Linked DNA regions of Macaca mulatta. The protein of the gene in region 3 interacts with the protein of the main gene of each other region in a pairwise test. Links are inferred from orthologs where the notes say so. Each region holds a gene or a part of one and is shown on either strand. Other genes may lie near its edges.

Evidence for each region.
Region 1: the proteins of ARR3 (region 3) and ZNF496 interact in binary tests that used the Homo sapiens proteins (3 or more experiments, as listed by UniProt). The two-hybrid records come from large-scale screens. The link is inferred for Macaca mulatta from reciprocal best matches to the Homo sapiens genes ARR3 and ZNF496.
Region 2: the proteins of ARR3 (region 3) and GNMT interact in a two-hybrid assay, tested with the Homo sapiens proteins (2 studies listed by BioGRID and IntAct). The two-hybrid records come from large-scale screens. The link is inferred for Macaca mulatta from reciprocal best matches to the Homo sapiens genes ARR3 and GNMT.

Annotation. Positions count from the first base shown.
Region 1 is NC_133406.1:1,705,002-1,714,771, reverse strand, and holds the start of ZNF496 (zinc finger protein 496), read right to left. Parts: upstream 6,074-9,770; 5' UTR 5,996-6,073; intron 5,854-5,995; 5' UTR 5,638-5,853; intron 4,277-5,637; 5' UTR 4,163-4,276; intron 3,814-4,162; 5' UTR 3,777-3,813; coding exon 3,387-3,776; intron 3,065-3,386; coding exon 2,881-3,064; intron 1-2,880. UniProt on the Homo sapiens protein: DNA-binding transcription factor that can both act as an activator and a repressor.
Region 2 is NC_133409.1:139,165,033-139,174,734, forward strand, and holds GNMT (glycine N-methyltransferase), read right to left. Parts: upstream 6,545-9,702; 5' UTR 6,538-6,544; coding exon 6,332-6,537; exon of another isoform or gene 6,256-6,331; intron 5,423-6,255; coding exon 5,295-5,422; intron 5,089-5,294; exon of another isoform or gene 4,876-5,088; coding exon 4,759-4,875; exon of another isoform or gene 4,555-4,758; coding exon 4,412-4,554; exon of another isoform or gene 4,310-4,411; coding exon 4,188-4,309; exon of another isoform or gene 4,103-4,187; coding exon 3,931-4,102; 3' UTR 3,782-3,930; downstream 1-3,781. Other genes in the region: PEX6 (peroxisome biogenesis factor 6), read left to right, coding at 39-234, 744-820, 937-1,069, 1,147-1,352, 1,489-1,550, 1,803-1,911, 2,225-2,341, 2,438-2,515 and 2 more. UniProt on the Homo sapiens protein: Catalyzes the methylation of glycine by using S-adenosylmethionine (AdoMet) to form N-methylglycine (sarcosine) with the concomitant production of S-adenosylhomocysteine (AdoHcy), a reaction regulated by the binding of 5-methyltetrahydrofolate.
Region 3 is NC_133426.1:76,782,976-76,792,614, forward strand, and holds the start of ARR3 (arrestin-C), read left to right. Parts: upstream 1-3,370; 5' UTR 3,371-3,499; coding exon 3,500-3,547; intron 3,548-7,285; coding exon 7,286-7,323; intron 7,324-7,590; coding exon 7,591-7,621; exon of another isoform or gene 7,622-7,669; intron 7,670-7,771; coding exon 7,772-7,832; intron 7,833-8,029; coding exon 8,030-8,074; intron 8,075-9,639. UniProt on the Homo sapiens protein: May play a role in an as yet undefined retina-specific signal transduction. Could bind to photoactivated-phosphorylated red/green opsins.

The DNA.
Region 1 (9,770 bases), on a different chromosome or scaffold from region 3:
CTACCTTTGGCCCCGATAAATGAATACATGGACCCTTTCGAGAATCACTTTGGAGAGCTGCAGACCCTACACAGAACCTAGGGGAAGATCTTCAAGATGAGGAACTATACAGCTATGACGGGTAGTGCATTCCAATGATAAATTGTCCTAATAGTTAAGGTTTTCCTGACTGCTAACTCTTGTCACACCTACTTTGCCTATTGCTAATTGCTCATGGAAATGGGAGAGCTGGCCTTGTTTTCCTAAACCCCATCTGTGGTTGCTGGCTTATCTCAGAACTTTATCAAGAAGCAACTGCACAGGCTGCTGTAGTTCCTGAAACTCTTCCCCTCCTCCTACGTGCCTTCCCAGACCCCACTACAAGGCCTCTCACAGCCCCCCACTTCCTGCATAACCCAAGCTACTTGCACGTGCATTATGTGGGTGACTGGCTGCTTCCCTTATGCCTGTTGTTACGGGCTAAGTTATGCTCCTCTCAAATTCCTATGTTGAAGCCCTAATCCTTAGGTACCCCAGAAGGCGACTGTATTTGGAGACAGGGTCTTTAAAGAGGTCATTACGATAAAATCAGGTCATACGGGTGGGCCCTAATCCAATAGGACTGGTGTACTTACAAGAAGAGGAGATAAAGCACAGACACACACAAAGGAAAGACCATGTAAGAGACCCAGAGAGAGAAGGTGTCTGTTACACTCGCTCTGCAAACTTCTCTTAGTGTAAACATCTTCCTCTTCCTCTCCCTGAAAGAAAACTGCCCGTCACCAAGAGTCCTGGCACAAAGCTTGTTGTCAGCTTTCAGGGCCAGATATTCATAGGTTTTTACGGGTCCCAAGGAGAGCCAGTGGCATAAGAGACTTCCCCTCCCAGCTCCTTCTTTTGTTTTGTTTTGTTTTCTTTTTGTTTTGAGACGGAGTTTCACTGTTTTTACCCAGGCTGGAATGCAATGGTGTAATCTCAGCTCACTGCAATCTCCGCCTCCTAGGTTCAAGTGATTCTCCTGCCTCAGTCTCCCGAAAAGCTGGAATTACAGGCACCCACCACCACACACAGCTAATTTTGTATTTTTAGTAGAGATGGGGTTTCACCATCTTGGCCAGGCTGGTCTCAAACTCTTGACCTCAGGTGATCCGCCCGCCTCAGCCTCCCAAAGTGTTGGGATTACAGGCGTGAGCCACTGCGCTCAGCCCCTAGCTCCTTCTAAATGCCTATCTGCAAACTTCTCTTAGTGTTAACATTAGGCACGTCTAGAGCCAAGGAGAGAGGCTTCAGAAGAACCCAAGGCTGCTGATACTTTGACTTCAGACTTCCAGCCTCCTAAACTGTAAGAGAATATATTTCTGTTACATAAGCCATCCACTCTGTGGTACTTTGTTATGGCAGCAAACAACACACCAGCCTCCTGAACTGTGAGAGAATACATTTCTGTTACATAAGCCACCCACTCTGGTACTTTGTTATGGCAGCAAACGACACACCAATCTTGACTTACGAGCAAGAAAAGGCTGAAGAGTTTGTATGATTTGTACAGGAGTCACTATAGTTTTTCCACACAGAGATATTTAATAGGCATTTTGGTTTTATTACTGAAAAGCTTATCATAAGGCCAACACAACTTCTGCAAATCATAAGAACGCCCCCTGGCCCCCCAGACACTTTCTTTCCATTGTACCTATACAGCACTGTGGCAAGTCCACCCAGAGTCCTAAGAAAGCCCCCCTGGCCCCCTAGACACTCTCTTTCCACTGTACCTACAGAGCACTGTGGAAAGTCCACCCAGAGGAACCCACGTGCCAGACTTCCTTCAACCCAAGAGTACTGGTTTCCCATGATATGTACTTAAAAGTTTTGGGCGGCCAGGCGCGGTGGCTCACGCCTGTAATCCCAGCACTTTGGGAGGCCGAGGCAGGCAGATCACCTGAGGTCAGGAGTTCGAGACCAGCCTGGCCAACATGGCGAAACCCCGTCTCTACTAAAAATATAAAAATCAGCCAGGCGTGGTGGCAAGCGCCTATAACCCAGCTAATTGGGAGGCTAAGGCGAGAGAACTGCTTGAACCTGGAAGGTGGTGGTTGCAGTGAGCCGAGATTGCGCCACTGCACTCCAGCCTGGGTGACAGAGCGAGACTCCGTCTCAAAAAAAAAAAAAAAAAAAAAAAAAAAAAAAAGTTTTGGGCATCTCTGGCTTTGTGCTCAGCCTTTTATAGGTTGTATCTCATTTAATCGTCCAAAAACCCCAAAAAAGGTAATTACTATCTCTGTTGGACAGAGGAAGAAACTGAGGCTTTCGGAGTTTAGAAGCATGCCTCATGTCATACCCAGAAGATTCAAATCTAAGTTTATCTGATGACAAAACTACTTTTCTGTAGCAACCATGTACTTCATACACATACTCAAACCATGTCTAGCTGATGTTCTGGTCCCACACACTAGATACCATCCTCTGTTCTCCAAAGTATTTTTATATCTCTTTGCAGAATCACAATGCTCCTGTAAATAGGAATTGTTTAGCCAAAGAAACAGAGGTTCCAAGAGACAAGAGATGGCCATGCTCCATTCATGCAGCAGGTCCTAGCTGTCATCAAACTGACAAATCCTGCAAAGATGCATCCTCAAAGAGATGAGAGGGCACCACCTCAGTGACACCCACTTACAGAAGAGTTAGCTCTGAGAGGATCTAGAACCATGAAGAGAACAAACATCCTGATGAGATTCTCGTTTAATTGCTCCAGGAAGGGACTCAGACCCTGATAACAGCTCACAGCCCCTCAGGGAACAGGAGAAAACTGCTGATGCAAAAGCCATCAGCTTAAAAACCACCCCAGTGTATAGTGTGTGGTGTGCACTCCCCCAGATCACCCCTGCTACTCCCCGGGCTGCATACCTGGATCCCCGCTGAGCTGGCTTGGTGCTCTGCTTGGGAGCCCCAGGCACTGTGCCAGGGCTATGGGCTGGGCATCCTGGCTCTTTGCAAGGTCGCTGTGGGGCTCTACCGGCAGCTGCTCCTGCTCCTGGTCCAGAGGGCTGTCCCCATCATCAATCACCACAGGGTCTTCACAGTGCTTGAGCTGCAATCCCAGAGAAAGCTTTTCAGAGCTAGGCGAAGAGGTCCCATCTCTCCCTGGGCCTGGTGACCATCCACTCCACAGCTGCCCACCAAAGGCTCCACTTAGGCCTTGGACTGGGCCGTAAAGGGGCATGACACCATCATGCCCAAATTAGAGGCTTCAGGGAGTAAAACTGGCTTTCTTAGGAAACTCTAGTCTGGTCCTAACCAAAGTACACGGCTCTCAGTGGAATTCCTCATTCCCTGGCCAGTGCATACATGGCCCAGTCAAAGTGTCTAAGCACCAGATCTCTACCCGTCCCAGCCCCACCCCTTCTACTCACCCACTGCCAGGGTCTCCCAGGCTCCCGTTCCAGTGCCTCCACCGCGGCCACAGCCTGCTCTCCACTCTCAGGCTCCTGCGCCCGCACCCAGCTCTGGATCTCCCGGGGCAGGATGGCCAGGAACTGCTCTAGCACCAGCAGCTCCAGAATCTGCTCCTTGGTGTGCCTCTCAGGCCGCAGCCAGCCCCGGCACAGGTCCCAGAGGCGTTGCAGGGCCTCCCGGGGGCCCGCCGCCTCCTGGTAGCGGAAACGGCGGAAGAGGCGCCGAGAAGACTCGGGACTGGGAAGCTCCCCTTGGGGGCTAGGGTTCTCTCCAGGTGGGCTCCTCATTTTCCTGGGCTCCTCACTTTCCTTCGGAGCCAAGACTCGGGGGCACAGGGCTGTGGGCATGATGGGATTTGATGGGGGTCAGCAGCAGAAGACGACCCTATTTCCAAACAGAAATCACTGGCTTCAGTGTTCTGGTCTCCTGTGGTCATTTCTGGGGGACAGTGACAAGGAAACTGTCAATGCCCTCAGAGACCAGCCCTTTGGAGAAGCCCTGGGAAAGGTAGGGAGTGTCGGTGTGGCTGGTCTTTACACACAGAATGAAACAGACAGAAAGATACCCTCCCCCCATCAGTACCATTACGTGTGGATTCCCGTAAGCGGGTGACTGGATGAACAAGGCAGGAAATCTGGGAGAAAGTGGTGGCATTTCAACGTGACACTGGTGTTTTGAGCATCCCAGGAAACCAACAGCGCCACATGCAGATGTAATCAAGACTCTCTGGTACCTTAAGTGGCTGGGTCCTCCGGGAGACCCGAGATGGGCAGGCCAAGCAGGCCACTATATTGAAGCTCCGCAGCCGAAGTCACTGTTCTTGTTCTCAAGACCTTTACAAATAGAGCTGGAAAGACAAAGACAGACATGCATCGGATGAGCCTTCCAGCACATCCAGGAATGGAAAATCCATCCTGCTGGTGGCAGAGGGCTGATGGTGCTCAGTGCTGGATGGACAACCCAGCCAGAATCAGCTTTGCCCAACAGAGTCTGCAACGGGAGGCAGGGAAAATACCCAGACACAGGGAACATCACATGAGACAGCCACATGCAGTCCACGGGGGACAAATAACACTGCATTTAGAAATATCAGTGGTTTCCTATGAACCTTCTGCCAACACTTGCCTGACGTTCAACCTCGCCTCCACCCTCTTGTCTATCCTTGACCTCTTCAAACCACATTCAAGGCAACGGCACACCCGCGAAAGCCGTTCCTCGGCCAGGACAGGAGAGTGGGTCCGTCACGGCACAGCTCAGCCCTCAAAGAACCCCTGGACACTGCAGCTGCCACACCCTCAAGGTGGGCCTCAGGGGTCCCTCCACCTCCCCGCTGGTGTGCAGACAACTAGCCGACACATACAGGGTGGCAAAAGAGACCAGCAACCAGTATACCTGGCTGGTGTTCATGACTCGCACCCTAGAACACTGACCCGTGAAAGGGCACATGGGGACACTCACGGTGCCCTTCTCTGCCATCAGGCCTCTGTGATCCTTAGGACCGGCAGTGCCTGCCACTCCTCCATCTGCAGGAGGTTGTCCAGCGTGGCCGCGCCTTATCCTCCAACAGCTCACAAGGGGGACTCGGGCCTCACTCCCATTTCACAGGAAGACAAGTGATGCCAGAAAAGCTACGAAACAACTCAGTGGTTCCAGAAACACCCACTGCTCTGAATCTCCTTGCTTTCCAAAGTAACAACACATACAGAAACGCATATGGGGGCCGTGGAGGCGTCGGGCTGGACGCATTACAGGGCTCCCCACCACCGGATTCCCTTCCAAGGCGGCTCCGGCATCTGGAGCCCGGGGTGGGCCCCGCCCGCCCTGCTCGGCGGCCCCCTGCGGCGCCCATCACACACCTGCAGCGCCCAGGACTACTCAGGTCCGCCCCCCCGGAGCACCGGCGCCCACCCGGGCTGCCACTCGGATCGTCTCCAACCAGACGGCCGCGTCCGTCTTTGTCACGGCGGCACCTGGCGCGTCGGAGGCTCGGAGGAGACGCCTGATGAATGAACTAACGTGAGTGAGGCGGAGGAGGGCCCCGCAGGGGCGGAGCGAGCTCCCAGCCGTTCGCGGAGGAGGGACCGAGCCGGATCGGCAGAAGGGGAAGGAGAAGGTCGCTGCGGGCCAGGGAAGGGGGAGCGCGCCCTCCGCGCCCTCGGTCTCCCTCACACGCGCGTCTCCCGTCTCGCCGGCTCCGGGGCTCCTCACCTCACAGCCCGGAGCTCCCTCCCGGCGTCCGGCCGAAAGCCCTCCTGTGGCGGCGGAAGTCCAGGGCAGCCGTCCTCATCCTCCCGGCCCGCCCGGCCGGGCGTACTCGCTGAGGCGGCGTCTCCGCAGGCGCCCGGCTCCTTTCCCGGCCCGTCCAGACCGCGTCTCCCGACCATCCGGAACGCCACGGCTCGGCTCGGGGGCAAATGGAGGCGCCTGAAAAACAATGGTGTTGCTTTCTCCCCCGCCCGCACCTTCCTGAGCGCTGGGCTCTGGGCCGGGAGGCGGCGCCGCGGAGGCCGGGCGCGGGCCGAGGAGGGCGGGGCGGGGCCGGCCGCGGGAGCCGGGGTGCACTCACCGCCGCGACTCGTCCCTGTTGGCGGGCGGCGCAGGCCTGGCCACTGCCGGAGCCCGCCGGACGCCGAGGAAAGGAAAGGCCGGAGCCCTCCGGCTCCCTCCCCTGGGACACTTCCTGCTCCGCTCTAGGACCGGGGAGGTCTCCGCATCTCAGTGGTTCGCTCCCCCGCCCCCCGGCCGAGGTGTGCGCTGGGGGTGACATCCGACACCCCCGGCCCGCCCAGCTCCGCGCGCGCCTGGGCCTGGCCGCCGGGCCGGGGGCTTTGTGGGTCAGCCACGTCGCCGCGCCCGGTCCTCCCCGCGGGCCCGCCGGTCCGGAAAGTCAGCCCGGGGCTCTTTTCTCCGCTGTTCTCCTTCTCCGGCGCCCCCAGGACACGCGGGCCGGTGGACGCCCGGAACGGCCGACCGGGAGGCGCGGCTGGGATGGAAGCTGGAATTGGGGGTGCGGGATGGAGCGGAGGGAGGAGGCCCCGCGCGCCGTCGGCCGCCTCATTTCAGACGCCCCCTGCGAGCCCCAGCCAGCCGAATTCCGGGCCGCCCAGCCCCTCCCGTCGCTGCGGGACGCCAAAGGTAGCGCTCGCACCCGCGCCTTCCGGGCCTGGCGCCCACGTGCGGAGTCCCCGCGTTAGGAAAGGCCGCGCAGCCGGAGGCCACTCCGAGCCTCGGGACGACCCTGAGGGATGCGCAGGGGGTCTGCCGTGAGTCCTGGCCCTGAGTGGGGGTCACGGGGCTCGCAGAAGTGAACACGGTTACCGCTGTGCGCAGTGGCGGAGGGAGAGGATGAGGGACTCTGACCCAAGGTCATGTGGCAGTGAGGGGCAAGCAGGAATGAGGGCCTCCGGACCCCACCCTGAGACAGGGCTGCTGGCTGCTACACTGTGCTGAATATAGCCCAAATTCTGACATGGGTCGTCCCCGGGGAGTGGTCATTTTTCAGGCTCCAGAGCTTGAGAGAAAGTGTGAACCCGGTCCCTGGGCAGGCCTGATTCCCATGGCCCCTTCTCCATCTGCTCTGCACCGAAATTGGATTCTCCCACGCAGAAGGGGAGAAGGTTCTCCATCTTCCAGAGGGTAGCTACTGCCCGTTGCTCCGATTTCCTTAGGATCCCCTTTCAAGGGCAAGCAGAAGGAAATCGGTTTCCCCAGAGAAAGTGGCCCGGCTGAGTAAGTGGGGACAAGGTGGTTGGACTGAGGCACAGGATCCTTTAGCTCTGTTACTCTTCTAATCCCGTGGCCCTGGGCACCACCACTTCCTCCTCTGAACTGCTGGAATAATCACTTCTGAGTAGCAGAGTTACTGGGAGCCGCTGTTTGTCAATGTTCACATTCTGACTTTAGCAGGAGATGGACCAAGCGAAGGAGTGAAGCCCTTGTTTGTGAACAGTGATTGTTTCCCAGATGACAGCCAGATGCCCGGCAGGGCCACACAGATTTTAGCTGGAGCCTACAGGTGCAAGGAGGAGCCACCCCCTTTGACTTAACTGGACTGACATTTACAGGACTCATGTACAGCCTGCTCTCAGGAACACCAGCCAGGAACTGTGACATGGAGGAGAGGAAGTGGGAAGGCTGGTAGGGCTTAGGTGCTTTGGCAAACATCCTAGTCTGTGGGGTTCCAGAGCCCTGGTGCCACAGCTCCCAACCCTGTGACTGGCCCAGGAACTGGCTGTTGAGTGGGCATCTGTGTTCATAGCTCTGCCCCTTGCAACCCTAAAGCAGGTAAAATGCAGGAGGCAGAAATTGCTGGCAGACAGTATCCAGTTAATCCCCACTACCCAATTCAGTTTCTTCCCCTGACCTGACACGTCCCTGCCCAGTTGTGCCTCTCACTGTTCACCTTTTGAGGCACAAAGTGGGCTGTTTATGCTGCTTCTGCATTTAGCTCAAAACGGGGCTTAAGAGTCAAAGTTCTGGAGTCAGGCACCTGGGTTAAATCCTGCCCCATCAATTCCTAGCCAGGTGACCTCAGGCCTACATAACCTTTCTGTGCCTCAGTTTCCTCATCCAGAAAACAGGGATGATGCTGTGTACCTCATTTGATGGTTGTGTGGGATTGAAGCTTCTGTCATTCAGCAAACCTATACCGAGTACCTCCTGTGCATTTATGAGTGCCAGGCAGCCTTCCAGGTGCTCAGGTAATCTGTGAACACAACTGGCTATTGGAGGAAGCAAAATCAGTAACATGACCTGCTCTCTTTGATCTGTGCTACAGAAAAAAAGGAAAGTGGAGAGAAAAGGAAAGGGAGAGGCATCAGGAAGTCAGGAGTGCTGGGGAGGGGCTGGTAACAGTCATGGTATTAAAGAGGAGGGCAGGCAGGCAGGCCTTACTGTGAAGGTGGTATTTGAGATGAAGGAGTTGATCAGAGTCCCTTTTTCCCACATGGAGACCACCTTGACAGCAAAGGCCCTAAGGGGGAGTGGTGCAAAGCAAGGTGGCGGGTGAATGAGAGGAGAGGGATGGTGTAGAGCTGGGTGGGGGCACAGGAGCCCGTGGGGAAGGTGTTTGCCTCTGGACGCAGTGGACGAGGTGGGGTTGTATCAGATGCCACGGGTGAAGCATCGGGAAGAGGACCCTGCACGTAAATCGTGCTCAAGGACCGCGCCATCGTCATGCCCAGTGTGTGCATGTATTCGGTTTGTATGAATATGATATTGCCAATCATATCTGTTTTTATGAAATGTTTGCTATGTGCCAATGATTCCATCCATGGGGAGACCATAGAAGAATGATCCAAGGAGCTGGGAGGGGAATCAAATAATAAATCAGCGATTCTGCAATATAACGCCATTGGTGATAGGTGTCATGAAAGAAATAGAACATGGTGGGGAAGCGTGTGCTGGGGATGTTCAGGTAGGGCCTCTGTCAGGAGGTGACATTTGAGTGGAGAGCAGGTGGGGGGGCCCCTGAGCAGAGGAGTGTGGGAAGAGTATTCCAGCAAAGGAAACAGCGTGTGCTTGCTCAGCTGGGCAGAGGAACAGTGAGAATGGTGAGGCTGGAACCAGGTCACCGGATTTTATAGTCATTAGAGGGTTTCAAGTAGGAGTGTGGCCTATCGGAATCTTGATTTTAGCAAGATCACTGTGCAGAACAGATGAAGCAGAGTCCCTGTTAGGAATCGCTGTAGAGATCCAGGCAGGAGATGCTCGGTTCCTGGAGTTGGCTGGTGGGGGCACAGCTGGTGAGCAGTAGCCCAGTCCAGGCTCTGTGTTGAAGGCATGCTGCCCGTGTTAGAGGAGTGAGGAACGGCTGTGACTGGGGCTGAAACTGGGTGACTGAACGGGCCCTCTAGAGATGGCAGATGCAAGGAAGCAGGTTTCCAGGAAGGGGCTGGGTTTGGGGTTGAGTTGGTGGATTTGGGACTTGCTGGTTTTCAGATGCCCGGGAGACAAGTGGGGATGACCCTCTGGGACAGAAAGCTGTGGCTGGAGGTGGAAATCTGGAGTCACAGTGTGTAGCAGGAGTTGGGACAAGAGGGTTGAGTGTGTTTTGAGAAGCAGCCCCAGGGAGGGCAGACCCTGTGAAATGCCAGCCCCGGACCCTGGGAGCCCAAGGGGTTAGTGGAGGAGAAGGGAGAGAAGGGGAAGTAGGAGGAGGAAAGTGAGGGGGAGGACGAGGGCAAGAGAAGGGGGTAGGGAGAGCTGCTACCGCCTTGAGAGAGAAGGAAAATTGCAGGTTTGGAGCCCTGGAATCCAAGTGAGCACCTATGTTTCAAGGAGAGAAAGAGGTCGGGGGATAAATCCAGCCCCAAGATCGAATCTATGAGCAAAGGACACTG
Region 2 (9,702 bases), on a different chromosome or scaffold from region 3:
CACATTCTTACCCCCAGTGCCCACTCCTCTGTCTGCAGCTGCCCTCCCCTCATGGTTGTGGCCACCACAAGCCGGGCCCAAGACTTGCCTGCTGATGTGCAGACAGCATTTCCTCATGAGCTGGAGGTGCCTGCTCTATCAGAGGGGCAGCGGCTCAGCATCCTGCGGGCCCTCACTACCCACCTTCCCCTGGGCCAGGAGGTGAACTTGGCACAGCTAGCACGGCGGTGTGCAGTGAGTATCAAGGCAGAGTACTGGCCCTCCCTAGGAGGTCCCTGGCTTTTGTTACAAGAACTCAGTCCTGTTGCCTTGTGAGTGAGAATAGAAAACCCAGGCTGGGCGCCGTGGCTCACGCCTGTAATCCTAGCACTGGGGGAGGCCGAGGTGGGCGGATCACCTGAGGTTGGGAGTTCGAGACCAGCCTGGCCAACATGGAGAAACCCCGTCTCTACTAAAAATACAAAATTAGCCAGGAGTGGTGGCGCATGCCTATCCCAGCTACTTGGGAGACTGAGACGGGAGAATCACTTGAACCCAGGTGGAGGTTGCAGTGAGCCAAGATCTCGCCACTGCACTCCAGCCTGAGCAACAAGAGCAAAACTCCATCTCAAAAAAAAAACAAAAAACAAAAACCTAAGGCATCAACAGAGGGCCTCTGCTCCAACTGCTCCTACTGGGGGATGGTCCCTGAAGGTTCCTACCTACTGTGCCCTGCTCATGTGGCCTTTCCTGTGGTTCCCTAGGGCTTTGTGGTAGGGGATCTCTATGCTCTTCTGACCCACAGCAGCCGGGCAGCCTGCACCAGGATCAAGAACTTAGGGTAAGAGGAGTTGGGCCCAGGAAAGGCAGAAAGAGGAAATGGATGTAGATGGGTGGGTGGTGAGAAGGGAATGGGATGTTGGTGGGGAGGAGGCCTCCCTGTGTTCTTCTTTGCAGTTTGGCAGGTGGCTTGACTGAGGAGGATGAGGGGGAGCTGTGTGCTGCTGGCTTTCCCCTCCTGGCTGAGGACTTTGGGCAGGCACTGGAGCTACAACAGACAGCTCACTCCCAGGCTGTTGGAGCCCCCAAGGTGGAGACCAAGTCCTTGGAGGTGGGACAGGAGCCCCTCCAAGAGCATATCCCAACCATGCACTTTCCATCTCCTAGATCCCCTCAGTGTCCTGGCATGATGTAGGTGGGCTGCAGGAGGTGAAGAAGGAGATCCTGGAGACCATTCAGCTCCCCCTGGAGCACCCTGAGCTACTGAGCCTGGGCCTAAGACGCTCAGGCCTTCTGCTCCATGGGCCCCCTGGCACCGGCAAGACCCTCCTGGCCAAGGCAGTAGCCACTGAGTGCAGCCTTACCTTCCTCAGGTGGCCAGAGGGCCTGGAAGGGATGGCGGGTGGATCAGGGGCTGCAGCATGCTGGGGAGCAGGAGGGGCTGCCCGAGAGGTCAGTTGTGTGTATGTGCATCTGACGGGTCTCACCTTCTTACATCCTCTCACTCAGCGTGAAGGGGCCAGAGCTCATTAACATGTATGTGGGCCAAAGTGAGGAGAACGTGCGGGAAGGTGAGTGAGCAGGGAGGAGCAGGGCTTCCCATGCTTCCCAAATCCTGATGGCCCCAAGCCACCCCCACTGCCAGGCTACTCATGGTCATTCCTAGTCCTCCTTTCCACAAGTCACGTTCCTGCCCAGCTGGGTCTAGTACCTGGGGTGCCAGTGCTATATTGTCAGACCCCAGTTTCCCTCCCTGCTCTCGCCTAACTTCAACCCCCTGCAAGTCGAGCTTCACCCTCCTGTGGGCCCCAATCTCTCTTCAGTGTTTGCCAGGGCCAGGGCTGCAGCTCCATGCATTATCTTCTTTGATGAACTGGACTCTTTGGCCCCAAGCCGGGGGCGAAGTGGAGATTCTGGAGGAGTGATGGACAGGTGTTGGTCTGAGTGGGAATGGAGGCTGGGGGGTCCAGGGTGGGAAGGATATGAGAAAGCTCACAGCAGTCTTCAAGAGTCCAGAGATAGACGTTCCTGCTGTTTCAGTTCTGAGGTAATATAATGGAAGCTGAAAGGGGCCATGAAATTGGGCAGGGGCCACTGAGGAGAATGGGGGCCTACCTGGAGGGGCACACTGGGCACAGCTGAGTGGAGGGCCCTGATGAGACTGCCTGTAAGGAGAGGTACCACAGGCAGGGGCAGAGTCTAAGGGGGACACCAAGGACTCTTGCCCTTGCTCCCTTCACTCCAGGGTGGTGTCTCAGCTCCTTGCCGAGCTGGATGGGCTGCACAGCACTCAGGATGTGTTTGTGATCGGAGCCACCAACAGACCAGATCTCCTGGACCCTGCCCTTCTGCGGCCTGGCAGGTGGTCCCCTTGTACTGCTTACCTCCACCTTCATTCTGTGCCTCCACCCCTCATGGCTGGGCTCCCTGAAACTTATACCTGCCTATCTCCCTAAAGATTTGACAAGCTGGTGTTTGTGGGGGCAAACGAGGACCGGGCCTCCCAGCTACGTGTTCTGAGTGCCATCACACGCAAGTATGCCCTGTTAAAAGAAGACTGCCAAGGGCTTGCGCCTTGGGATGCTTAAGGGATGCATGCAACATGCAGAATGAGCTGGTCAGCACTGGCTTTTGAGGGAGGAGGTGATGCCAACTCTGTTTCTTCCCGTATCCCACAACAGATTCAAGCTAGAGCCATCTGTGAGCCTGGTAAACGTGCTAGATTGCTGCCCTCCCCAGCTGACAGGTGCGGACCTCTACTCTCTCTGCTCTGATGCCATGACAGCTGCCCTCAAACGCAGGGTTCATGACCTGGAGGAAGGTGAGCCACTTGCCGGCCTGAGAGGTCAACCAGAAAGCCATTGGGGAGCTGGGTGCACTTGAGTCCCAGCTACTTGAGAAGCTGAGGTAGGAGGATTGCTTGAGCCCAGGAGTTTGAGGCCAGCCTGGACAACACAGAGACCTCATCTCAAAAAAAAAAAAAAAAAAAAAATGTTTAAGGAAAAGAAGACGAGTGGGAGACAAACCTAGTCCTGGATTTCAGAGGGAAGATCACTGACATCTAGGAGACCCTGAGCAGGAAGGCACCATCCCAGGGCTCTCCCCTGCCTGGGCATAGACCACAGCGTCTGTTCCCTAGCCGGGATGGGGAATCTGGCCTCACCTCCCACCTTGTCATCTCCAGGGCTGGAGCCAGGGAGCTCAGCACTGATGCTCACCATGGAGGACCTGCTGCAGGCTGCCGCCCGGCTGCAACCATCAGTCAGTGAACAGGAGCTGCTCCGGTACAAGCGCATCCAGCACAAGTTTGCTGCCTGCTAGGAGCCCCCCAGGGCCTGGGACCCCACTCAGCATGGCTGCAGGTACCTCGATAGCCCACAGAGAGATCTGGGAGGGAAGGGCTCCTCCTCAGGCTGCTGCCAACCCACCTGGAGGCCACCTCCCTCCAGGAGATCCCGGGGTGCAAAGTGGCATTGGGACAGCAGCAAGAGCTCAAGAGATATCTCCTGCCTACTTGCCCCTCCTTCCAGGCTGGCTTTAAGAGGAAGGCCCATCTGCTCAGGAGGAGGGCCAGGTCCTTGGGTTCTGGGGATTGGGCCCTAAGAGGGCTAGTTCTGTGGCTGAAAATAAAACGTGTCCCTCACCCTACTGGTGTTGTGGCATGAAAGGTTGGAGTGGGAAAGAGCAGGGTTATGGGAGGAGTAAGCCCTGGGGGCGGGCGGGGGGCTGGGCATCGTGGGAGTCTGATCCTTCTGACATAAACACAAGGCATGCAGGTACTGAAAAAGGCACAGACTATATTGTTTACCCTTCCATCTGCAGAACCCACATCCCTGCACCCCAGCTGTAGTCTGCTCTAGAGGCTGGCCCTGGTGTGGGGCTGCTGGTCCCGATCTTCAAGACAGAGCCTAGCAGTGCCTGGGTGGAGGCTTGTGGGAGCTGAGGCCACACTCAGTCTGTCCTCTTGAGCACGTGGATGAAGTAGCAGGGAACATAGGCTTGGCCTGGCTTGTAAGGCTTGAAGTCGCCCAGGACGCTGTGCTGGCACTTGCCCCCGAAGGCTGCTTGGAGCAACTCCGTGAAGGATGCCAGACAGTGTGGGTAGTAGGAGAGCCGGAACTTACTGTAACAGAGCCCCCAGCAACCATGAGGACTGGTGACCTCAGCTTCCCCAACTACTGCCTCACCCCCACTGAGCCAAGTGGTACCTCAAGCCAGGAGAGCCATCCTGGCCAGCCCCCGGCACCTGCACTGTATAGTCCAGGGTCACCATGTGGGCCTTGTTGTTCACTATCAGCACTGATGTTGTGATGTCCTTGGTCAAGTCACTCTGTAGGTGGTGGGGCAGGCTGCGTTAGCCTCTGTAACCTACCTTGGGGCCACTGGACCCTCCCTCCACCCCACCCCCACCCCCAATCCCAGAGGGCCCCACCTTATAGTAGATATTCTTCCCTGGGGGTGCACAGCCTGTGCTGAGGATGTGGTCGTAGTTGCGGTGATCAATGACCAGCAGGCCCCCTGCTCGCACCATGCTTGCAATGTTTTTCAGCGCCAGCCGGTGCTCACTCTGGTCCCCTGAGCGCCAGGCAGGGGCAGAAAGGCTCCATCTGCTCAGGGCCCCCAGCACCAGTCTCCCTCCCATCTCTCCCCTCCCCAGGGGTACCAGAGCCAAATCAGAGAGAGGCAGAGAGTCTGCTTTGCAGAGCAGGTGCCCAGAGGTCTGTGGAAGGGGGTACAGCTCAAGGCGGGGGCCATGCCCAAGGCCACACCCTCTCTCACCTTTGCAGTCTGGCAAGTGAGCGAAACTGTTTCCAAGGCAGATGACAGCATCAAAGCCACCCTCTGCTGACTGGGGCACATCTTTGTCCAGAGTCATCCAGTTGGCTTCTTCAATGACTGGGGGCCAGGAAGGGAAAGAGGAATCAGGGAGGCACCATGGTACCAGTAGCAGCCACCTCCACCAAGTGCAGTCCTGCCTAGGATTCTTCTTAAGACACAAAAACTCCCTGTTCGGTTAGGGGGAGGAACCCTGGTTCAGAAGGAGGGCTCTGTGCTTATGGGCTTTTCTTTGAGGGGAGGGACAAGATGCCATAAACACAGTTAAAACCAGCTCTTCACACCCAGTGTCTCATTCTGGAGCTTAAGCCTTGCTTTTCAAAGAAATTACAGTAATTTTGCTGTCTCCCCGAGGAAATTTTGCTGTCTCCCCGAGGAAAACACAACACTCCACCCCCACCCCCACTTAAAGGAGCCCCAGGCAGAATGAACAGTGTTCCTGGTGACTGGGCTGGCGGGGCCTGGCTAGACCTGCATACCCCACTTGTCGAAGGCGGGCTCGTGCCGCCGGTTCCAGCGCTCCTTAAGCGCATACTTCAGCATCTTGTCACTGGCATCCACACTTGTCACGCTGAAGCCCTCTTCCACCAGCATAATGGAGTCCACCCTGGGCAGGGCCAGTGGAGAGAGACAGAGAGGGGCAGTCAGGGGAGCCTGGGAGGGCCAGGAGACCCTGTGCCAGACACTTTTGTCTCCACTTCTCAGAGTCCATTCCTCTGCCTCCTCTCCCCAGGCCCTCTCCACTGACCTCACAAATCTATTTCCTATCACCACGAGGCAACTTTTTTTTGTTTAAGGCGCCTCTTCAGAGCTAGGCACTCTACAAATATGCAGTAATTCTCATGGCAATCCTGAGAGGTAAATAGTGTTATTCCCATTTGAGAGACAGACAAGCTGAGGCTCCTCTAAGTTAAAATAGGTGTGCACAAGAGGCAGCAGAACATGGTGGTTTAGAGCACAGGACAGACCTTAACCAACCCGGGCCTGTTAGCTCCTCTTCAGTGGATGTTGTATGAGGGACTTTTACTTTGCTGAGCCCTTACTTCCCCAGTAGTAAATGAGAGAGTATCACTGCTTAACCTCATGGGGCTTTGTGAGGGTTTGAAAAACTGATGTATCAAAAGCTCCTGGCACTGGCTTGACAGATGCAAATGTTGAGCAATGTTAACTGTTAACACTGCCCAAGGCCGTCACAGGAGGAATATTTGGAGTCTGTCCGTGGCCCTGGCTCCACAGCCTTAAGGACGCTCACTTTTCTGCCCACACCCTCACTCACACTCAGTCTCCCTTCTCAGTGGCCTCTCCCTGAGCACCCCTGCCCCAACCCTTGGCCTCAGGGGGCACTCGCAGTGCCTGTTCTGCCGGGCAGGTACCTGCTCCTGGCCCTGGTGTCCCACCCATTCCAGACTGGCAAAGGCCGCCCCGACGTGCCGGTCCTGTGGTTCTGCGGCCGCGAGGTACAGGCTGAGCCGGACTCCGATCTCATGCAACGCCCCCGGCCCCCTCCTGGGCTTACCCGGTGCCACAAGCCACGTCGAGCACCCGCTGGCAGCCGTGCTGTCGCAGCAGCCCGAGCAGCCATGCCTTGTACTCGGCGGTGCGGCTGCGGGTGTTCCCAATGTACAGCTGCCACACGCGCGCCGCCTCCCCGTCCGCGTACTGGTCCGGGAGCCCTTCGGCTGCCACCCCCAGGGAGCGGGTCCGGTACACGCTGTCCACCATCCTGCGCCGCGCCTGACTTCGCAGTCACTCGCTCCGCACTTATAGCACAGGCACTTCAGGCAGCCGACCGCCCCACCCGGCCAATGGCAGGTAAGCGCGCGGACACGCCCCTGCTGGGCTTTGCGCCGGACGCCTGAGGCTGTACAGCTGCGGGGAGGGCGCTGCCTTGCAATCCTGGGCTAGGTCCTTTTAGCCAGCCTGCGGACCCAGCCCTCTGTGCAATCCCACGGCAGGAGAGGACCCTCGGAATCCTCTGCCCACTTAACCTGGGTCTCCAGGAGAAGGCGAGAGGGGCCAGGAGAGGAGGGAGCAATGAGATTGCCACTCCATCCCCCCCTCCCAAGTTGGAAAGAGAGGAAGTAAAACCTCAGATCCACAGAGCTGAGCGCCAGGCGGGCAGGACTGGACCGTTCCCAGCGAAGGAAGGCATCAGCAGATCTAAACAAAGAATGTGCAGCCAAAGTGTGTGGGGCTAGCCAGCCGATGCAGGGAAGACAGGGGGAGTCTCTGGAGGTAAAGCTGGTCTGTCCACCCAAGCCCGGGGCGGAGCCGGGGCTGGAAGAATGCTCCCCGCCTTGAGGCCAATGTGCCTCTGTTTTGTAGGTGACCATCAGGCTTTTCCCTGAGCTTCCTAAGGTGTAAGTTGGGCCTTGCTTCCAATTTCTGGATCACTGAGAACCCTTCTAAAGACCCTCTGCTGGCCGGGCGCGGTGGCTCACCCCTGTAATCCAGCGCTTTGGGAGGCCAAGGTGGGTGGATCACCTGAGGTCAGCAGTTCGAGACCGTCCTGGCTAACACGATGAAACCCCGTCTCTGCTAAAAATACAAAAAAATTAGCCGGGCCATGGTGGCACGCGCCTGTAGTCCCAGCTACTCAGGAGGCTGAGCCAGGAGAATCGCTTGAACCCGGGAAGGCAGAGGTTGCAGTGAGCCGAGGGCACCACTGTACTCCAGCCTGGTGACAGAGCAAGACTCCCTCTCAAAAAAAAAAAAAAAAAAAAAAAAAGGCCGGGTGCGGTGGCTCAAGCCTGTAATCCCAGCACTTTGGGAGGCCGAGACGGGCGGATCACGAGGTCAGGAGATCGAGACCATCCTGGCGAACACAGTGAAACCCCGTCTCTACTAAAAAAATACAAAAAACTAGCCGGACGAGGTGGCGGGCGCCTGTAGTCCCAGCTACTTGGGAGGCTGAGGCAGGAGAATGGCGTAAACCCGGGAGGCGGAGCTTGCAGTGAGCTGAGATCCAGGCACAGCACTCCAGCCTGGGCGACAGAGCAAGACTCCGTCTCAACAACAACAACAACAAAAAACCCTCTGCTTTCACATGAGGCAGGAAAATAGCGTCTGGAGGCAGGGAACATAAGGCCAATTCACACTTCAGTTATAATGGGAAATATCCTCTCCATAGGTGTACACCCACCATTAATAACTTTATAATTGTAACTTTACTTCATCCTCTTCATTTACATAGGGCATACCCCAAGAGGAGGGTATTTTTTTTTTTTTTTTTTTTTGTGAGACGGAGTCTTGCTCTGTAGCCCGGGCTGGAGTGCAGTGGCCTGATCTCAGCTCACTGCAAGCTCCGCCTCCCGGGTTTAGGCCATTCTCCTGCCTCAGCCTCCGGAGTAGCTGGGACTACAGGCGCCCGCCACCTCGCCCAGCTAGTTTTTTGTATTTTTAGTAGAGACGGGGTTTCACGGTGTTAGCCAGGATGGTCTCGATCTCCTGACCTCGTGATCCGCCCGTCTCGGCCTCCCAAAGTGCTGGGATTACAGGCTTGAGCCACCGCGCCCGGCCTGAGGAGGGTATTTACACTCACAAAAACTCTGTAACACGGCCTTCGAGCCCCTATGCTCATGATCGCTTGCTGTTGAGTGTACTTTCATTTTCAATGAAATCCTTCATTCTTTTCTTGCTTTGTTTGTGCATTTTGTCCAATTGTTTGTTCAAGATGCCAAGAACCTGGACACCCTCCATCATTAACATATTCTGGCGAGCCAGCCAGGGGAAAGAGGTAAGCCCAAAAGTTTGGGATTCATTTTTCTCCCTTTCCTTTCTGCTCAATTACAGGGGCGCTCTCACACTTTCTTTCTTTCTCTCTCTCTCTCTCTCTCCTCCTTCATTTCCAACTTGGGACCCTTGGTGGGCAGCGCCTAAACATGGAAGCAACTGTAGGTTTTTTTGTTTTTTTTTTTTTTGAGATGGAGTCTCGCCCTGTCACCAGGCTGGAGTGCTGTGGCACAATCTCGGCTCACTGCAACCTCTGCCTCCCGGATTCCAGCGATTCTCCTGCCTCAGCATCCTGAGTAGCTGGGACTACAGGTGCATGCCATCACGCCTGGCTAATTTTTGTATTTTTAGTAGAGATGGGGTTTCACCATGATGGTCAGGACAGTCTCGAACTGCTAACCTGGTGATCCGCCCGCCTCAGCCTCCCAAAGTGCTGGGATGACAGGTGTGAGCCACCACGCCTGGCCTGCAACTGCAGGTTTCTGGCCATGGCCAGTGAAACTAGGGGTTTCCATGTGGAGAAGCCTAACTGCCACTGCCCGGTTCGCTTAAGGAATCTGGGTCTTTTTCATTTTTTTTCCTCTCTTTTTCAGTCTTACAGCAGCTATTTTCTAGTAGCACCTTGGAAATTGAGGGCAATTGGCTGGGGTCACTCTCCGGTATTGCCTGAAGGCCTAGGAACAAATGGGAATAATCGCCCTGCCCTTGAAGGGGTAAGGACTTTTTTTTTTTTTTTTTTTAATTATTTCCACACTTGGTACCTGATTCCTACCTGCAATGCAGGTCGGAGCAAACTCACACCTGTTTCAGGGGATTTAAACCTTCTTTTCTTATGATAAATTCTTCCCTTACATACTCTACTGGCTAAGGAACAAAAAGGCCCACCCGCATCCAGCTCTTACTACACTTCATGGCTATTCTTATAAAGTTCATAGCAGGCTCTGGAGGGAACGCATGCAAAGTGGCACCAGTGCCCACCTAAGTAACACCAGAGACACCTAGAACTCTAACATTGGACCCCCCAGGAGGACACTCTGTTGGTCCTGCTCCGTGGGACCTCAAACTGCCAAAGGGGATGCCCTTGGCAGGGGTTTTGAGGTCTAGTGTTAAACCCTCCTTAGAATTTTCTCTCACAGTTGCTATGCTGCTTGGCCC
Region 3 (9,639 bases):
AAGCAGTGCCTTTGGGGAGGGGTGAGCAGGCTGGAGCAGAATCCACTCTGCATGGAGCTGAGAAGCAATGGGGACTCTGAATTTACTTGATCCTCAGGTCCTGAGAATGTCACCCAGCTGGATACCGGGAGTGAGAGGAGGAGGCGGACTTGCAAAGGAGGCTCTAGAATTTAGAATCTAGATCTCTCAGAAAGCTCAGAAACCTGGATGGGGAAACTGAAGATCCTTGCCCTGTGGTAGAGTAAGGGGTGGAATAAAAGGTAGCAGTGGAGGGCACAGTCATAACCTGAGTCCTGGGCAGCTGACTACTGTGACACTGCATAAGAGGCCCGGGTTTCTGAAGCCAGACGGACCTGTGTTTAAATCCTTGCTCTTCCACTTATTAGTTATGTGAGCCTGGGCGCCTCTTTGTAACTTCCATTCTTCACCAGTGAAATGGGAATGATAACACCAAGGGTTTCTTGAATATTGAATTGGTTACCAGGTGTGGAAGCACTTTGTGAACCATAAAATGCTGCAAGTTTATAAGGTGCTGCAAGTGTTTTTTATTACTGCTTTGCTCCCAGGGATGAACCTGGCCTCTGCAGAGGTGGACAAGCGTGTTTTGAAGTTTGGTGTACACCCAAGGAGAAGCACTACACTACAGAAGCCCCAGCCTGAGCCAGCTTCCTGCTCCCACTGCTTCAGGCTGGTTCACCTCTGCTACATTTCCCCTGACTTAGCTCTGCTACGTTTCTGCAGGTCCCGACACAGCTGCAGCGGCTGCTGCTGCCACCACTGCCGCCCAGTGGCTATTTCAGGAAAAGACCTCTCCCAACCCTCCCCAACCAGCACCCCTGATTGGCTTTTACTATCCTCACCCGGGGCCAAGAGGAATGGAATGCAGCGGATCAGCCTCACTCTCTTCTGTGAAACTCTTCTTTACTTTGGTTTCTGTGACTTTGCTTTACTCCGGTTCTCCTCTTCCTCTGGATGTTCCTTCTGGCCCCTTCCCTGGCTCTTTTTTGCCCTACTTTCCCCACATGTGAGCCTTACCCCAAAGATTCCTCTCCTCTCCTCTCCTCTATCTCCCTCTCCACCATCTCTCTCCCCCCTACCCCCACCCTCTCTTCCCCTTCTCTCTTGGAACATCTACTCTCATGATTTCAACTATGACTCAGAGGTTATCAAAAATTGGTAATGGCCAAGAGACTCCAGCATACAGATCTCTCTCTAATCAAAATGCATCTCTCCTTCTCTCACACTTTTATCACATTTCATTTCTACAGAGATGGCATATACCACAGGCAGCCTAGAATTATACTCATTTGTGGTTTTGGCCATCTCCTCCTGATCCTCCCACCCCCATACCAGAACCAGAGCTCCTTGAGAACATGTACCTCATTGTACCTCTGTCTTTCCCATAGCCTTCCAGGTGAAGTTATTATAACATATGTTCTAGATATTTTATTTCCAATTATATTCTCTGCTGTCCCCATAAAAATGCCTTCCAACTCAGAGTTAAGAAAACAAGTACCTTGCACATAGTAAGTGTTCAATAAATAGTTGTTGAATGTTGAATGAATGAATAACTTAATTATAATTTGTTGAATTGAATGGTTCCCACATCTATAATCTAAGCCCTATATATATTGTTTGCTACAGGACACACACACTTGGGTATCTCATTGACGTCTGGAATTTAGTATGCAGAAAAAGTTTACTATTTTTCTCATGACAGAGATAAATAAGATGTACAAATACCATTATTGCTGACACCCTTCCATTGCCCTACTCCTCCAGTTTGTTCCAGTCCTCTCCCTCTTGGCCCTTCACATCTACTATTCATAATTGTCTTGATGACAGTTTCTTTGCAAGATTTTCTGTTTCCTTGGAGCTTTAAGAAGGAAACGGAGAAGAGGCATGATTTCTAATATCTTTCTCTGAGTTAAGAGGAAAGGAAGGAAGGAAGGAAGGAAGGGAGAGAAGGAGGGAAGGAGGGAGGGAGGGAGGAGGGAAAGGAGGGATAAAGGTAGGAAGGAAGGGAGAGGGAAGAAAATGAGGGAGGGAAGGTAAGTGATATAGTGGAAAAAATGCAGGCTTGGAGTCAGACAGACCTAGGGTTGAACTCTGGCTCCATTGCCTGGCAGCTGTGACTATGGATAAGTCTTTCTGAACCTCCATTTCCTCATATGTAGAATGAGGATGCTAGCACCTAGCTTGTTGTGAGAAGACAATGAAGCAATGCATGTAAGGAACCCAGCAGAGTGCCCTCATTGTCGTTATTGAGAATTAAAGTATAGGTGTATTTGGAAGGTGTGAGGTCCACTCCAATTGGCTGAATTTTCTTTCTTTTTTTTTTTTTTTTTTTTTTTGAGACTGAGTCTGGCTCTGTCGCCCAGGCTGGAGTGCAGTGGCCGGATCTCAGCTCACTGCAAGCTCCGCCTCCCGGGTTTACGCCATTCTCCTGCCTCAGCCTCCCGAGTAGCTGGGACCACAGGCGCCCGCCACTTCGCCCGGCTAGTTTTTTTGTATTTTTTAGTAGAGATGGGGTTTCACCGTGTTAGCCAGGATGGTCTCGATCTCCTGACCTCGTGATCCGCCCGTCTCGGCCTCCCAAAGTGCTGGGATTACAGGCTTGAGCCACCGCACCCGGCCCTGAATTTTCTTTATGAAGTGAACAAATGGAATTACTTGCTGAGAGTAAGTGGAACAAGACAGTCACTCAACCTTGACGGAAAGGAGTAGTGATCTGAAGCCCTGGATGTCTAAACTTACTAATGAAATCATGGGGAAATGACTGGCTCCACATAGTTGTACCCAAGTTAGCTTTGTTCATATGTATTATCTGTAGTGTGCCCTTTTTGTCTTTCTACACACCCAACTTTATCTCCAGCAAGGCTGTTAACAACCTTAGAGTGGAGACCAGGACTAGTTTGTTCAGCGCCTAGGACAGCACAGGAAATCTGTTTCTGCGATTTAATCCATCTATCTCCGTTCCATCCTCCCCCACTGAGCTAATGCCTCATCCACATCCCACTTGAATCTTTTGCTATGTTTTCAGTTGCAATAACAGAAAATCCCAACTTAGATGACTGTTTTTAAAAAAGGAAATATATTATCTTGCATATAAGTTCAGTAGTGGGTGGCTTTGGAGCTGATTAATTCAGCAGTTCAACAATGTCATTAAAAAATCCTGATTCTTTCCATCTCTCCGATTTGAAACCTTGGCATGTTATTTAGCAACTTTCATGGTCACAGGGTGGCTATTGTCGGTCAGGCATTGTTTCCAGACATGGCGATATTCAATGGTAAAAGAGGAAGGCCTCTTCCTGTATGCTTATTTTTATCATTCAAGAAACCTTTCCCAGAATCTCTCCAGCATACCTCCTCTCACATCACAGTGGCCTGAATTTCACCATGCCTATAACTAAGCTGATCACTGGCAAGGGGGATAAAACGACCATGAGTGGCATAGAGGAGCACAGACCCATGCGGAGGAGGGTGAAATACCTTAAAAATGGGGATTCTTCCCACAAGGAGGAAGAGGGAGATGACTATTGAGTTGGTAAGCAATTCTGTCTGCTACAACCTTTTACTGAATAACCCACTCCTTCCTCATGCAGAGATCTGATCATCATTTTCTAACTGGAAGGTCTGGTTGGAGATATCATCCAGGTGTACAGAATGAGGGTGGGTAAGGACCTAAAAATATTTCCCCCACCAATGTATTATAGGGGCCAGAAACTCCATTAGATATGCATTCCTTTGCTTTCTTACTGTTGCATCCTCGTAAAATGCAAGTATTCCAGGTCAAAGTGAAACTTGTGACTGTTCTCTTCGGGAAGCTACTAACTGGAAAGAGGCACAAAGAAATTTTCTGGGGGAATGGAAATGTTCTATATCTTAACCTGGGTGGTGGTTATATGTGCGTTTACACAGGTGTATTAGTTTCCTATGGCTGCTGTAACAAATTACCACAGACTTGGTGACTTGAAACAATACACGGTTCTTCTCTTACAGTTCTGGAGGTCAGAAGTCTAAAATCAGTTTCAGTGGGCCAAAATCAAGGTTTCAGCAGGGCCATGCCTGAGCAGGAACAGCCATCTTGTGGCCGTGAGAGACTTTAGGGGAGAATCGATTTCTTTGTCTTTTCCAGCTTCTAGAGTTGTATTGCTTGCATTCCTTGGCTCATGGCCCCTTCCTCCGTCTTCAAAGCCAGCAGCCTAGCATCTTACTTCAGGCCTCATATTGCCTCCTATTTCAGAGTCAAAAGTCTCTCTGCCCCTCTCTCATAAAGAGACTAGTGATTACATTAGGGCCCACCTGGATAATCTAGAATAATCTCCCCATTTCGAGCTCCTTAATTTATTCACATCTGCAAAGTCTCTTTTTCATATAAGGTAACATTCATCGGTTCCTGGGATTAAGACCTGACATCTTTGGGGGGCATAATTAAGCTTGCCACAGTAGGTAAAAATTCATTGAGCTGCAGTTAAGATTTGTGAATTTTACCTCAGTCAAGAAATGCACAAACTTCTGGAAAAGAGTAATGATTTACATTCCATCATAATAATGAATTAAAGACCTAGCAGATCTACTCTCTTCCTACTGAGAGGTCCATGGATCTGAGTAGAAAGAGAAGAAAAGTGGGATTGAGTACCTAAAAGGGAGGTAGGAGCCTCAAGTGTGGGTCTAAAGACAAAAATAGGCTGACCACTAGTCATTCTAGAGATTCTGGGAAAGGTTTCCTGAATGATAAAAATAAGCATACAAGAAGAGAGGCCTTCCTCTCCTGCCATTGAATATTGCCATGTCTGGCATGAAAAGTAGATTCATTCTGACTTTTCACCTTCCTCGCAGACACCAACCTTGGCATGTATACAAGTCTTTCCTGTATGTCCAGCATCAGTTCCTATCCCACTGTGGTACCTGCAGAATCTGGGCTTCTCACACTATCTGAAAGTCCCTGAGAAGGAGAGAGTTATAGTAACTAAACAACCAGGCCCTGAGATGCATATTGGCTAGGAATGGCAGGGGCTGACACCGTGAACTGTGCAAAGAGAATATGGGACAGCTGTCCAGGGCCCTCAGTGAGGGGCAGGAGTTAGGGAAGGCCCTGCCCAGCCCTCTGAGTCATAGCCATAGCCATCCTCTGAGGAATGGACACCGCATTGTGGAGGTTGGGGTTAAGGGCTATGTCTATAGATAAGTACTAATGTCTAGACTGCTGTAAGGGGAGGTGAAGGAGGTCAGAGTCCTGAAACCCCAGAGCTTGTAGGTTCTGTCTCTACATTTTCTATGCCCGTGAAGCCTGAGCCTAGGCCCTGTGGGAAGGACAGTCAAGAAAGGAAGATTACTTTGTTGTTGCTGTTGTGGGGGTCCTGGCAGCTGCAGAGACAGAAATATCTCTAATTCCATGAGCGGTCATACGAGGCAAGAGAAGCTGCTTACAGCATGGACTTAGTTTCAGGGATTGGACAGAGTCAAGAGCTGGGGTGAGGAGGTTTACCCTAGGTAGGGGTGATAAGATGTCAGCCGCCTATTCCCTCGACATGCATGTCCTGCCAGAAGAACCTGTCCCCGGGCTGGGAATCTTATATTACCTTCCTCTCCAACGAGAAGAGAAGTTCAAGGCTCACAGACATGTGCACACACAGCTCAATGCACTCAGCTCCCCCTCCACCACTCCTGCCCCCACTACCTACAGGAGATTGACTCCTGCTGTGCACATAAGCTGGGATAATCGGGGTTTCTAAACATCAGCTTCAAGAGTCCAATGTCCCAAGTGGTGGGCGGCTTGGGGACGAGGTACTCTTTCCCATACCCTTGGCTTTTGTGTGGCCTGGAGCTGCTGATATAAAGATTGGAGTGTGACACAAGGTATTCCTTTCAAAAACACAAAGGCCTATACTTTGAGCCCTCCCATTTCAATCCCCCACCATGCTTCACCTTTAAGACCTCCAACTCCACTTTGATCCCAGTTCTCAGGTTCAAGGCCTCACAAGGCCAAAATCCTGAAGTTACCCTTCTCAAACTCCCCTGCCTTTAACATCATCAGAATCAACCTCCTACCCCCACTCTGTCCCAGCAGCAATAGCCTGCTAATCTTTTAGCCACTAATCTTTTAGGCACTAATCTGCTTTCCAAACTCTTGGCACCTGAACTATTTATAGCAGTGTTTCATGCCCCCCCCCAAGAACCCTATTCTTTTCTGATGACCCCCACCAATCAAAACACTCAGAGGACTGTGGGTATAAGAGGCTGGGGAGGCAGGCATAGCAACCAGAGCTGGAGACTGATGTGAACTTCATCTCTCTCCCCAGGTAATATTCCAGAGCCCTCGACTTCTAGCCCATACTAAACCCTATATCCCTTGCTCTTAGCATCCCCCTTAATATATCAGGCAGCAGTTGAGGGACACCCTTCCTGACATAGCCTATAGACATTCAGGCCTAGAGACCCTCCAAAGACCTCTGGAAGCTCCCCTAAGCTCACCCCCTGGGCCAGGCTCAGTAAGCATCAAAGAGAAGCCCTAGAGAGACATCTCCCTCTCTCTAAGGATTCCCACCCAAAGGCCTAGCCCCTGGGGACCTGGACGGGGATAAGAATGGGAAAATCTAGGGAAGGCAATGAGAGGGATGAGTTGGTTCAAGGAGGACTTTCAACCTCCAAAGAGACTTCTGTCACCAAAAACTGAGAGTATGAAGGCACCAACCCCTTCTCTCTCACACTTTTCTCCATTCTTTGTTGACAGTCAAGGCCATCATGAGGTGAACTCAGGCTCAGGATCCATTGCAGTAGCAGAAGGAGACAGAATCCATTCATTTGTTCATTCATTCATTCATTCATTCATTCATGTATCCCACAAACATGTCTTGGCACCTAGTGTGTGCCAGGGGATGTCTAGCCTCATACAGACCAAGAAACACATTTTTCTCAAACTTTTCTGGATGGAAACCTCTGTCCAGCCTCTTTCCAGAGAAGTTCCTTCTCTCTGAGGGCTCTCAAGAGTCCCCCAGCCATTCTAGGAAGTTTGGCCCTTTCTGGAGAATAGATAGTATGGTTAGTCAATGATTTGTACAAAATAGGAAAGTTTATTTTCCCCTCTTGCCCAAGATGGGCAAGAATACGGCTGAAGAAGTACCCTTGGCAGAAGGGAGAATAGGAGGTACTTGATGTGGGTGAGGTGTCTGTCTAAGGAAGAAAGGTTACATCACACTAGGTGTATATGGATGGTATGCTGGAGTGGGGTGAGAAGAATGGAAATGAAATGATTGAGCCTTTCTTCTTTCCCTTTTCGCAGAAAAGGCTCAACATCAACTATATAGCCAACATGTCCAAGTAAGAACTCCTTCTAATCTTTTGAATCTGTGAATTGCTCCCTACCCCAATCCAAGTATTTCCCTTTGGGGTAGGGGGATTTCCAATCTCTCCCTAACTTGTGTCCTTGGATTCTATCCCGATTATCTCTACCTTTGCCCCATCCTATGCTCCTGGAGCCTCTTCTCCTAATCCTAAGAATATTTCTTTTCTCCCCACTTCCCTTATTTCCTCTTCCCTGCACTTCCAATCCCCCTCTCCATCCTCTTTCTGGTTTTCTCCCCATAGGGTGTTTAAGAAGACCAGCTCCAATGGGAAGGTGAGAGAACCTGGCCCAGCTGGGCAAATGAGAGGGCAAAAGGGATAGGTGGGTACATCCTTCAAGGTCTCAGGGATCTGGGTTGGGGGCTTCAGGGGAATCCATTCCAAAATGATTGTGAGAATAACATGCAAAGTTGTTCCACAACAGCTCTCCATCTACCTGGGGAAACGGGACTTCGTGGACCATGTGGACATGGTGGAACCCATTGGTCAGTGAGTCCAAAAAGGGGAAGCCTGGGGAAAGAGGAATGGAAACTAGGGAGTAAAAGAAAGTCCAGGAGAGACTGTGCAGAAAAGGAGGCAAATTAAAGGGAAGAATGGGAAGAACCATTTCAGGGATCATCTTCTATTTCATAGTCTTGAGAGCTTTTCCTGACCAAAGTGCTGTCTGTCCTTCTCTCCACAGATGGTGTAGTCCTGGTTGATCCTGAGTACTTAAAAGGTCGAAAGTGTAAGTGGAAATCCTTGTCGGTCTTTGTGTGTTTCAGACAGGTAACTCGATGAGTGGATTGCACCAGAGTATAAGAAAACCAGAAAGTGGCAGGAACTGCGAATGCCTTCTCTGGTGGAGGCTGACAACTGGGAATTCCAGCCCAGTGTGGCCAAATTTTATAATTGTTAACGAGGAACTGTAAATGAAGCTCAAAATAAGACTTTTAGAGGCCCAAAGTGTGAAAAGATTATGGTGTCCCCTTACCCAAATCATATTCAAAGTAAATATCTAAAGCATAAATTAAATTTTATTTTTCAAAATTGCACAAAACTTACACTCGTGCTGAAATTAAAATAGCTTCTTTCAGAATTTCGGATTTTCTCTATTATTACTGGTGGTGGCCCTGCTTGGCTATTGATCTGAATCTTAGACTGCCTATAGAATGATCCAATAAGTCAGAAATCCATATTTTAATGCAGATTTCCTGATTTTCAAATGTTGGCAACTCACTAAAAGACTTTAGAAGCCTGGATAGATTATAAACTTTTTTTTTTCTGTTGGTTAGATGTGACCTTCAGGCTGCCATTTTGCAACCTCTGGTATACGTGTTTCCATCTCCTTTTTTGTGTAGTGAAACTGACCTTTTATTCAAGGAAAAATTCCCAAACAAAAACCAAAACAACAACCACAGGAAGTAACCGTAAGAAACATTACTTTGGCAGCACTACTACAGATCAAGATTATGCTGATTTTTGTTGTTGTCGTTGCTGCTTTTTTTCCTTTTAATTTCTCACTGTGGATTAACCCCACCGTGATCCAACTAGACTGAAAATTGGGGTTGATTTGAAAAAGGTGCTGAATGGGTTGATGAGTACTAGTTCGGATGTAACTGTTAGATATTGGAGAATAAAGTAGCCTAAATCTCTCAGATTAAGCAGTGTGAAGAAGCAATCAAGTCGGTTTTAAATATCAGAGGAACTTTGGGATAGACTCATAAATTAACCAACTTATTTAAGGTTCCCAAGTATTCTATATTTCTAAAACCTAAATCATTTTTTCACATTTCTACAAAATCTTCACAAGCTCTGGAAAGAAATCTTTAGTTAAAAATATATGTTGTTCCAGGAAGAGAATGAATTTTTCCTTTTATTCTAATCTTTTTTTAATGTCCCCTTAGTAGAGTTTTATATTACTTTTCTCTTAAGTTGCGCGTATTTCTTGTTTATTCTTAGTTTTTCAACATGGTTTGTTACCTCTATGAAGATTGTCTTGTTTGCGTCATATTTTCTAATGTTTTTTTTTTTTTTTATCAAGGTACATTTGTGGATGTAAAATATGCTTAATCTATACTGTGGAGTGATAAAGGCCAGTGATAGGGCAGTATATGTGATAGTGTGAACAAACTGTTGTTTAACAAAAATATATCTACAATCTCTCTCTGTATAATTTCTTACAACTGCATGTGACTCTACAGTGATCTCAAAATACAAAGTTTAACTTCAAAAAGGCAATGAGAGAAAAGTAAAAAATACCTAAGGTGGCCTTGCGTTCAATTCTAGCAACAGACAAAGTTGAGAAGCACA